3 linked regions of the Canis lupus familiaris genome follow. The protein of the gene in region 3 interacts with the protein of the main gene of each other region in a pairwise test. Links are inferred from orthologs where the notes say so. Each region holds a gene or a part of one and is shown on either strand. Other genes may lie near its edges. The genes, in order: PAM16, PDCD7 and FEZ1.

The links.
Region 1: the proteins of FEZ1 (region 3) and PAM16 interact in a two-hybrid assay, tested with the Homo sapiens proteins (2 studies listed by BioGRID and IntAct). The link is inferred for Canis lupus familiaris from reciprocal best matches to the Homo sapiens genes FEZ1 and PAM16.
Region 2: the proteins of FEZ1 (region 3) and PDCD7 interact in a two-hybrid assay, tested with the Homo sapiens proteins (2 studies listed by BioGRID and IntAct). The link is inferred for Canis lupus familiaris from reciprocal best matches to the Homo sapiens genes FEZ1 and PDCD7.

What each region holds. Positions count from the first base shown.
Region 1 is NC_049227.1:37,332,449-37,336,196, reverse strand, and holds the start of PAM16 (mitochondrial import inner membrane translocase subunit TIM16), read right to left. Parts: upstream 2,692-3,748; 5' UTR 2,538-2,691; coding exon 2,535-2,537; intron 2,143-2,534; exon of another isoform or gene 1,716-2,142; intron 1-1,715. UniProt on the Homo sapiens protein: Regulates ATP-dependent protein translocation into the mitochondrial matrix. Inhibits DNAJC19 stimulation of HSPA9/Mortalin ATPase activity.
Region 2 is NC_049251.1:29,928,801-29,932,448, reverse strand, and holds part of PDCD7 (programmed cell death protein 7), read left to right. Parts: intron 1-935; coding exon 936-1,074; intron 1,075-3,648. UniProt on the Homo sapiens protein: Promotes apoptosis when overexpressed.
Region 3 is NC_049226.1:9,050,433-9,054,080, forward strand, and holds part of FEZ1 (fasciculation and elongation protein zeta-1), read left to right. Parts: intron 1-237; coding exon 238-406; intron 407-3,587; coding exon 3,588-3,648. UniProt on the Homo sapiens protein: May be involved in axonal outgrowth as component of the network of molecules that regulate cellular morphology and axon guidance machinery.

The sequences.
Region 1 (3,748 bases), on a different chromosome or scaffold from region 3:
AAGGCTGCAAAAAGCCAGGCTCCGTGCCAAGAGCACTGAGAAGCAGTGTGGAAGAGGAGGGAGAGGACTGCTTTGGAGCTTAAACCTGGACTCCCAGCTTGTCTTCGCTAGCTGTGTGGCCCTGCATAAATTACTCAACCTCTCTGAACCTGTTTTCTTATCTGCAAAACGGAGAGAATCATACCTTCCTTACAGGAAGGCTGCAAGGTCCTCAGAAGGCAATCCACATAAACCCAACCAGTCAGTGGCAGGTTCAAAGCAGCCCAACAGCTGCCTTTGCTTCTGGACTAGACCCTGCTTGGTGCTGGACGGTCCAGACATCAGGCAGTATGGCCAAGCTTCTCATCCATCTATTCAGTACCCAGTGCCAGCTGTGGGTCAGCCAGATCATTGTTCTGCCAGTTACAAGAGGAGATGATGGCAGCCACTGGCTGAGGTCTCTCCTAGAAAGTCCCCAAACATCCCATAGTCCACTGACTGACACTTGGGCCTGAAGACCCTGGACAAGAACAGTCAGCTGACATGGCATCCAACTCAGGGCAAGCTGCCAGTCGAGGAGCAGAGGTCAGAGACACAGGTCGCCGAGCCTGGGAGCCACTGTGGATGACACATCTGCTTTCTCATCTGAGGAACGACATAGCCCAATGCAGAACCACACCTCTGCAGCTGGGACAGAAGACCACAGGCAAGCGTTGGGGGACACGGAGGAATGTGGCGCATCTCAGGTGAGGTGCATTACGAAGGGAACCTGGTTTTCAGACAGCTCAGATGTGCAATGTTCCCTTCAAAGCTTAGTTCTCAGCCCCTGGGCTGCTGGGCAGACACTGCCACTGAGACTCACCCCCTTCTTGAGGATGTTCACCCCAAAGCCCCTGCAAACAGCTGCTGGCATCACGACTAGGCGGGAGGGCAGTCAGGACCACAGTAAACCTGGCGCCCCCGCCTATGGCTGGCATGGCAGCCCAATCGATCGTATTTGAATGAATGTGACACTTAACCAGGCCATCATCAGCAAAACTATGTCCCCAGACAGGGTTTCCAAATGCCTACCGCTCCCTCTGCTGGAGGACTCAGGCCATCCTCCAATACACACAACTCCGCGGCCAGGGCCTGCAAATTCAGCCCACTTCTCAGCTGGGCAATCTCACCTTGGACAGCTACAACGGCTCTGGTTTTCTCTCCCCTCACCTCTCGGCCCTGCAGCCACACCATCTACTTCTAGATCAGCTCTTACTTCTTTTACCCCCATGTCTCCCAACACACACACACCATACAAGTCACTCAAGTATTCAGTGATTTTAGGGTATTCACATACCTCTGTAAACACACTAAAAAGTACAGAATATTACTAGTCCTGGAACATTTTCATCACCCCCCCAAAAAAAACCCCCAATACCCATTAACCTTGACTACATCGTCCCTACTACTCTGATACTCCATCAAAACCCAACATCCTTCAAGACTTAACAGGAGGGATGCCTGGGTGGCTGCCTTTGGCCCAGGGCGTGACCCCAGGGTCCTGAGATCGAGTTCCACATTGGGCTCCCTGCATGGAGCCTGCTTCTCCCGCTGCCTGTGTGTCTGCCTCTCTTTGCGTCGCTCATGAATAAATAAAATCTTAAAAAAAAAAAAAAAGACAACACAATACTCCCATATTCCCTCTAAGCCAAACCTTCCCAGAGCACTATCTGTTCTGTCCTATTTTACAGACTTGCCTGATTCCTCCTTTAGGATACAGACTGGTCCAGAGCAACATTTTACGTGGCTCTTGAGGGGGGCTCAGAGTTACAGGCAGGAATGCGTGAGCAGGCCGCGGTCCAAGGGTTGGGCATGACCCGGCTCAACACCTGCCTCTGGCACGGCTGGATGAAACGACCCTGGAGGAATCCAACTCTGAGATTCAGGCTCCTACTCTGTGAAATGGGGACCATGGCCCTATGCATTTCACAAGCATTAAATGAGAGAATCCACGTGAGGCTTCCAGTGCAAGGGCCTGGGGGCCTTGCAAGCTCTTGTGTTATCCTTCTTATTGGTTAATAAGGGGCTCCCCAAACCGGCTGCCTCCGAGGACAGAGCTCAGGATGCTGCGTGTTTAAAGGGTCCCCAGGGGACTCGTCTCCGCCAGCGTGGCCCGGGTCTGCGGACTGGCTGCGGGTGCCACAGGAAACGCGGAGACGCTCAGCTTTCGGGGTCGCGGGGCCCGCTCGAGTCCCAGGCCAGCCACTTCCTTGGCAAAGTCTCGGCGCCCGTTTCGTCCGTTTCCAAAGGGCGACACCGCCAACGGGCCGCGCGGCCGCGCAGGGCTCCCGGGCTGGACCCGACCTCCGGCGCGGCAGGGGGCACGCGGCGGCCGCCTGTGCTGGGCATTTTCCGGCCAGCCAGGCCCGCGCCGCCTTCTGGGCGAGAGGCCTCCGTGGCCCCGGGCCGCCGGCCCCCGCCGCGGTCCTCCCGGTGCGACGCTCCCCGGCCCCGGCCCCGGCCCCGGCCCCAGCCCGGCCTCCCTCACCGCCCGGCAGCGCCCGCTCGTGCCTCACCATGCTGGCCGCTCCGCCTCAGGGTTGCGGGCTCCGGCTTCCTGGCCCCGCGGCCCCAGCTCAAAGGCGGCCGGCAGGTCAGAGGTCAAGGGAGAGAGAGCGCGTGCGTGACGCCGCGCTGGGCATGCGCGTTGCTCCCTCCGGGGGGCGGGACGGGACCCGTGACGTCACGGCGGTAGGCGGAGCCGCGCTCAGGTGATGGGCGGTCCTAGGACCCGCGGTGGCCCTCGCGTTCGCCCTGCTGCGCGACGTGCCCCAGGATAGACACATCTGTCAAATGAGGGGCAAGCAACCTCTTCCCTGGATTTTGCCAAGATATTTGGTACTAAAGGACATGAAGTAAACATACAACACCCCACGAAGAGGAGGATGCCAAAGGCTCACAAATATGTAAGAAAACAGGAAACCTGGGATCCCTGGGTGGCGCAGCGGTTTGGCACCTGCCTTTGGCCCAGGGCGCGATCCTGGAGACCCGGGATCGAATCCCACGTCGGGCTCCCGGTGCATGGAGCCTGCTTCTCCCTCTGCCTGTGTCTCTGCCTCTCTCTCTCTCTCTCTGTGTGACTATCATAAATAAATAAAAATTAAAAAAAAAGAAAACAGGAAACCTCAAAACGGGCTTCCTTCTAGTTTCCTTCTATCTGGGAAAGAGATCTCTCTCTCTCCCCCTTCAAGTGCTTGCTCGATGTCACCTTCCCAAGGAGGCCTACCCCAACCTGCTACCAATGCTGCAACTTGCCCCGCATTCTTTTGTGCTTTAGTAACCCTTTGGGATAAAGTTCACACACCATCCGGTTCACTAAAGTGCATAATTCAGTCAGCGCTTCTTAGTGTATCCACAGAGTTGTGCAACCATCACCACCAGAACACCAGAACATTTTCATCACCACCCCCCAAACTCCCTTCGCATCAGCACTGGCCACCGCCCCCCCAGGCCCTGACCACTAAGCTTGGGCCCGTCTATGGTTTGTCCCCTGTGAACAGCTCTTGGAAGTGGAATCATCCTGTCTGTGGCTTCTGTGTCTGGCTCTCAGTCCCCTCTATTTTTACCCCCAAAGTTCTTACTCATCGCCTTCTGCCATATTATAGAATTCATTTATTTTATGTGCGCTGCTTATAATCTGTTCTTTCCCCCAGAAGGTGGATCCCTGGTGGGCAGGACTTTCCTCTTTTCTCCACTCTTGGATGGGTGGCCGGCACGTGGGAGGCACTCA
Region 2 (3,648 bases), on a different chromosome or scaffold from region 3:
TCTTGAAGGACATGTCAAAGCCAAGTGAAAGCAACAGGTGCAGTTCTGGGCAGAAGAAGGAAGGAGTATGGTGTGGTCTTAATGGTGGGATTATAGGCACTTATTGGATAGATGGAAAGAGAGCTTTAGGTAAAAGGATCTTCCTTACCACCCACAGTAAGGGGATTGGAGACCAGATCCTGTGAGTGGTGGTTTAAGGAACCAGAGTCATTTTGTCTACATGTGAACCAACTTAAGAAGAACATTCAGGATAGGATCTTAGTGTTTGAAAGGCTGTCATGGCAAAAGATCTAGGCACCTAACAACACTGGAGTCCGAGCTATGTGCGTTGGGTGTCACTGACAAATTTCGTAGAGTTCTGGGCCCTTCCAACCCCATTTCTTGTATTCTCTCCTCGTCTCAATCTTTGGGTCTAGGAGTCTACATTTTTAATAAGAGAGCCCCAACTTAAAGTTAGATGCAGATGTTCATTGGACTATGCTTGAAGAAACTCCAAGGAAGGAACAAAGGTCAGCATCCATGTGGAAACTTCAGAGAAGATACTCCCTGGCTGGACCAGTGTGGGAGAGGAGTTGTGTACAGCCCAGGAACTTGGAATGGAGATCCAGTAGAAACTCAACCCCAGGACAGTCTGATCTTCTGAAATCTCACTGCTGGGCAGCTGTTCTCTGCTTTAAGACTGTTCCTAGGGCAGCCCGGGTGGCTCAGCAGTTTAGCGCCGCCTTCAGCCCAGGACATGATCCTAGAGACCCGGGATAGAGTCCCACGTCAGGCTCCCTGCATGGAGCCTGCTTCTCCCTCTGCTAGTGTCTCTGCCTCTCTCTCTCTCTCTCTCTCTCTCTCTCTCTCGAATCAATAAAATCTTAAAAAAAAAAAAAAAAAAAAAAAAAGTATTCCTAATACTAGGTCTGTCTCATGGACCCGGTCTTTTCCAGGAACAGGAACTGAAAGCTGCAGCTGATGGTGTCTTATCTGAAGTGAGGAAAAAGCAGGCAGATACCAAAAGAATGGTGGACATTCTTCGGGCCTTGGAGAAATTGAGGAAACTCAGGAAAGAGGCAGCAGCAAGGAAAGGTAACCATGGCTTTGCATTTCTACTTGTATTTATTCCTCTATTGCCTTGTTCCTTCCCTTGCTTTACCCTAGTGTCCACCCTCCCTCAAAATTTTTGAAGAAAAAAAAGTTTGATTATATTTAATTTTTACCCAGTAGAATAACAGCTTGTCAGCACCACCTCAGAACTTTTGAAGCAGAAGCCTGACTTTGTTTACTCCTTTTTGACAAGGTTGAAAAGAGAGGCAGGTGTGGGAACCCACTATACTGCCTTTCCCTTGACTCATCATTCCCACAGCAAGTGTTCTGGCCACGCTTTTGTGAGTGAGTTTGGCGTGGCTCGTCACTTTTGCCCATGTACAAAGGCAAAGGCTATCCTTTCTTTACTAGGTGCTTCAGAAGATGTTGAAAACTTGGCATGCCCTTCTGATATGTTTCAAACCTGAAACATTGATATTTAAAAAGGTGTGAGTGGTTGGACAGGGCAGGGAGTGCCTTGCAAACTGCATGGGTGTCCACTTCTGTACTTTGGGATCAGAAAACCTGAGTCCTCTCCTCTTGCCTCTAGGGGGAGCACTAGTTTTGGAGAAGCTCCCTAGTTGTGCTTTCAACATTTGCCTGTCTTGATCTTTGCTCTTGCAAGTCTTTTTGTGTGGAGGGCCCTCAGTTCCATCTTTTCCGTTTTAAGCTCTCACTATCCTTCAAAACTAAATACAGATGCAACATCCTCCATCCTACATCCTTCCCTGATCTGGATTGAGGTGACCTCCTTCTTACTTGCACCGGTTTGGACTACAAGCTGCCTTATTTAGTAGACTATAGGTCATTGATACCAACCAGGGATATTTGAGACTACACAAATTAGCAAGTACTGTGATAGCAAATGACTTCCCCTGTGTGGTTTAAAATATAAATGAAACCTGTGAATCAGACCCTTAATAAAGTTCCATTGGGATATGACCATTGTGTATTCAACCCAGCTCACTCACTAGCTAAGTGATTAGCTTCTGCATGCCAGGCTTCAGAATAGCTAGTTCAAATTGAGGCTTCAGAAGAATATGACCCCATAGTGCATTCATGAGTCAAAGGGGAGTTTGCATCTACTAGGTCTACCCTTATCTCTTCCTTGGGGAATGAAAACCTGAGGGCTGTTATTTAATATTCTTCTACTCCATGTCCTCTGTGAGGAGAGTATTTAGTAAACTTTTGCCAAGTGAATTTCGTAGCATAATTTCTCACTATTTGTCTTCTTTATTTTGGTCCAAAAGGAGGAGGAAATTTCGGAGGAATTGTGATCTATAAAAATAAGCAGCCTCTTTGGAGTTAATGGTCTTGAATATAAAATGATTTGGTAACTAGCAGCTAGTTGCATCATATATTTAAAACTTTTCTCTCAAGGTGTGTACACCTTCAGCTAAGGGCTGAGAGAATGAGGCCAGATATGTAAGCAGGGCCACATTGCAGTACCTTAGGGGCCAGACTAGACTTCTTACCTATGCTTAAAAATGAGCAGAACCATTGAAAGATTTTAAGCAAAAAGTGAAATGGCAGCAGTAATCAGTGCTGGTCCAGGAGAGAAAGGAGGGAGCTCTAGGAGGGAGGGAGAAAAGGAGAGACACTGAGAAGGCTATTCAGTAGTCTGGGCACGGATAATATAGGAGTGTGAACTAAGGGTCAGGTGGTGACTTGGAGAAAAGTAAATGAACTTAAGAAATACAAATAAAGGAGAGGGGGAATGTGTAAGTAAATAACTTGGGGAACAGACTTGGGGTTGACGAGTTCAGTTTGGGTTGTGTTGAGTTTGAGGTGCCTGTGGTACGTCTTGGATAAGAGGTCATCGGCATGTAGCCATAAATAGACATGACTTTAAGGAGGTTGTATAGTGTGAGTTGAGGGCCAAAATGACAAAATCCTAGGGAATGTCAAAATCCAGATGCATAAAGGGGTGGCCACAAGAGAGGTCAGAGAGATAGAAGGAGAAAGTAGGTCCCCTACCTCCTTCTGGAAAGTCCCAAATGCTCAGAGAGATTGTGTAATCTTGCTTGGGGAGGTTACCTAAATGTCTCTTTGCCTTAGTTTCCTCATCTGTAAGACAGGAATAATGATAGTACCTAAAAATTGAGAAATATCTGTGGGAATTAGTACCCAATAGATCATCAGTGAGCTATGCTAGGTGCAATTCACAGCAGAATGGTATGAGTAGAAGCCAGACTAGACTACAATAAAGAGGGAATAGGAGATAAGAAAACCAAACAGTGAGTTCAATTTATGAGAAGTTTGCCTGTGAAGACAGGAGAGAACTGATCAGTATCTGGCAATGCGGAAGGGCAAAGTGGTAATCTTAGGGTCATGGGAAAAATTTAAACATGTTTCATTGCTAAGCAAAGGAATGAGTATAGGGAGAGTATCATAGAGAAGCAGGAAGGATAGTTGATGGCTCAAGGTCCTGCAGGAGGTAGAGAGACTGATTGTAGGTGGAGGGATTAACTTAAGTGTAGAAGGATCCATCTTCCACTGGAATGAAAATGAAGGAGACAAGGATGGGTAGTCACACAAATGAGCAAAATCGGGGTTGAAAGTTAAGAGATTTCCTGG
Region 3 (3,648 bases):
TAAATGGTGTTCTTGGAAGAGATTGCACATGAAAGAGTACCTTACATTAACGAAAGAGTGTATGGAAGCCTTTGGTCAGATCTATTTTTATTATTGTTCAATATGTATTAAATAACAATATTGCTTTAGGAATTTTACAGGCAGCAATGTAGAAACACCCTTAACTGATCAAAATTCGAGCTGGAATGTTCCTCCAGCAGAGAACAGAGTTAGCATTCTCTTGCGTACCTTCTTCAGGTGATTGAGGAGATTGAAGAAATGATGCAGAACTCCCCAGACCCTGAGGAAGAAGAGGAGGTTCTAGAAGAGGAGGATGAGGGAGAAACCTCCTCCCAGGCAGACTCGGTCCTCCTGCAGGAGATGCAGGCCTTGACCCAGACCTTCAACAACAACTGGTCCTACGAAGGTGAGGGGCCTGGCAGGTGGGTGTGCCAACGATGAACACTGCTGCCTGCAGGCCAGGCCGTGGGCACAGGCTTCCCATGTAGCTAATAGGACCTCAAATCCAGGGAGTTGGCAATGCCTTTCCAACTGGGTGTCAGGACAGAAGTTAGCAATTTTGGGGGGTGGGATGGGGGAAAGGCAATCGAGCAAAATCAAAATGGTAAAACTAACCAAAGAACAAGACTAAAGCAGATTAAGTAGAAGAAATCGGAAACCCGCTGTCCAAAATGATACTACCATAAAATCAACAAAAAAGGTAATAATCACGAGAGCTGATATTTTTGGAATGCCTGCTACGTGCCAGACCCTGTTCAAAGAATTTCTGTGCATAATCTCATTTCATCCCCACACCAACTCCATTAGGATTGGGGTAATTGAGTATGCTGAGAGGCTAAGTGACTTGTTCGATGCCACTATTAGGGGAAATATAATTAAAAACAAAATCTAGGGCAGCCTGAGTGGCTTAGCAGTTTAGCACTGCCTTCAGCCCAGGGCATGATCCCAGGGACCCGGGATAGAGTCCTGGGTTGGGCTTCCTGCATGGAGCCTACTTCTCCCTCTGCCTGTGTCTCTCTCTCTCTCTCTCTCTCTCTCTGTGTCTTTCATGAATAAATAAATAAAATCTTAAAAAAATAAAACAAACAAACAAAAAACAAAATCTCCTCCCCACCCAGAAAACCTCTCCACAGAAGGAGAAGAGAAAGAGAACAATTTTACTATTGAATAAGCATTAAGCCAGAACCGAGCGCCCATCACAGGCAAGTCGCTAAAGGGATTGCAAAGCCAGAAAGAAATCCTACTCTCGTCTGCAGCTAAGTGGATACAACCCATTTCATTAAATCGGTTTAGCAATCTGGAGAAGGGGGACTAGTTAGGGGCCTGTCATCTTCCTCGATGATTACTTTTCCAAGCTGTGACTCCCGGGTGCTTGAGGAAACATTCCTGAGTCCCGAGGCTGACAAGAGGCTTATTTTGCCATTAAAATGATTGGCGTCCATCTGCAAAGGACAGAGGAGGGTGTTCACAAAGAACAGGCAGGTGAAGGGGAGAGAAACTTGCTGTCCTTATTTTCAGCAGGGAGAGCCAAGCCTCCTATTTTTTTTTGTATCTGCCCTGACACCACATCCAGGTGGTGAGGGGTGGAGCCCACATGTGAAGCGGGGCAGGTTCACTCCAGAATCCCACACTCCTGATCTGTGTCGTGTTAGCTCTCTGACACAGGTTCATGGTAATTATGATCACGCAAAGAAAGAGGTGGATGAGGCGTGAAATGAAAAGATGTGACACGGTAAAGGCAAAATTGAGTACAAAAGCCATCAGTCTGGAGGGATAATGGTGCCCATGCTGCAGGAGGGGCCCGCGCTCGCCGCCAAGGGAAGGAGGGCTGGGTAGGTGTCAAGGTCCAGATAGAGTGGTGGTAAAAATCGAGGCCTGATCTGAGGAAATGTGTCCTGAAAATGAGACCCTGTGGCCCTAAGGGAGTAGAGGCTGGGCGAGGGCAAAAGCAGAAGGAATGTGCTCGGAATGATGGGGCAGATTTGGCTGCGGAGCTGCATTCAGGCCGTTCTCAGCCACACAAAGGCCCCAAACATAGCTGCGCTCGGCGGAAGACTCCGGAAAACAGCTGAAGTGTACAGTGAAATGGCAAACGCAGAAGGAGGAGGACAGCTCCAAAGAGCAGAATAAAGGAGGAGGTCGAACCGAGTCAGCACATCCACAGGCCACAGCAGAAACAGAACAGAAAAGCAAAACGGATTCTGGGGCAAAAACAAAAGATGTTAGGGACCAATTTGAAAAGATGTTCCACCCAAACCCCCATTCCAGTCAATTTTTTTTTTTTTTTTTTTGTAAGTAGGCTCTCTGCCCAGCCTGGGGCTTGAACTCCGAATCTTGGGACCGAGAGTTGCATGCTCTACAAACAGAGCCAACAGGACACACTCCCCCCACCCTGATCTATTTTCAGTGAAGAAATCTTAAGGGACAAAAACTTAAGATACAGTCCTCTGTATTGCAGCATCTCAGGTTCCCTTTCCTTTTCTCTAATGGCAGACTCTGTACCAACTAGCCATGGTGCATTTTTTTTTAAGATTTTATTTATTTATTCATGAGAGATACAGAGACATAGGCAGAGGGTGGAGCAGGCTCCCTGCAGGGAACCCGATATGGGACTCAGTCCCAGGATCACAACCTGAGCCAAAGCAGACGCTCAACCACTGAGCCATCCAGGGGTTCCTCCAGGGTGCATTTATTTATTTATTTATTGCATTTTTTAAAAAAAGATTTTTATTTATTTATTCATGAGAGAGAAAGAGAGAGAGAGAGAGGCAGAGACACAAGCAGAGACATAGGAAAAGATGTGACACAGTGAGGGCAAAATTGAGTACAAAAGCCATCAGTCTGGAGGGATAATGGTGCAGGATGAAGCAGGCTCCATGCAGGGAGCCCGACGAGGTACTTGATCCCCGTTCTCCAGGATCAGGCCCTGGGCTGAAGGTGGCGCTCAACCACTGACCCACCGGGGCTGCCCTGGGGTGCATTTTTTAATATTTGTTTTTTTTTTTTTTTTTTTTTTTTTTTTTTTTTTTTTTTGCATTTTTTAATATTTGTAGCCAGCCGGCCACATGTTTCCTATATTCCCTAATATCTGCACCCGCCACCCAGGGCCACAGGGGTGCAGAGGGCCTTGGATCCCTGTGCTTGTTTTGCTGGCCGGGTGTATCTTGCTCTGTTCTTGGGACACACACCACCTTTCTACTGCTCTCAGCACACATGCCAGAAACCTCCTCTTAATGTTTTCTCCCCCTGATCCTTCACCTGCTTCGCACTAGGGATCTCATAGGAACAGGGGAAAAATAGGAGGAGGACTCCGGGATCACAAAGCCACACGTCTGTCTATGCACAGTTTTGTGAACAGGGTCCACGGGCCCCCCTGGGGGCTGTTTCCTTTTCCCTCTTTGTTTCCCCAAGAGCAGTGTTCACTTTGCTGCTGGCACACGGGCCCCTTCCTTCCCGGCACGGCCCTGAATTCCCGCCCCGTAAGGAGCTGGGGTGCAGGGAGCCCTGGGCAGCGCCCGGGAGCCGCTGGGTGGGCGTGGGCCGTGGCTGGGACGCAGCCGTCACCCGCGGGCCGTCTGCCCCCGCAGGCCTGAGGCACCTGTCGGGGTCGGAGCTGACCGAGCTGCTGGACCAGGTGGAGGGCGCCAT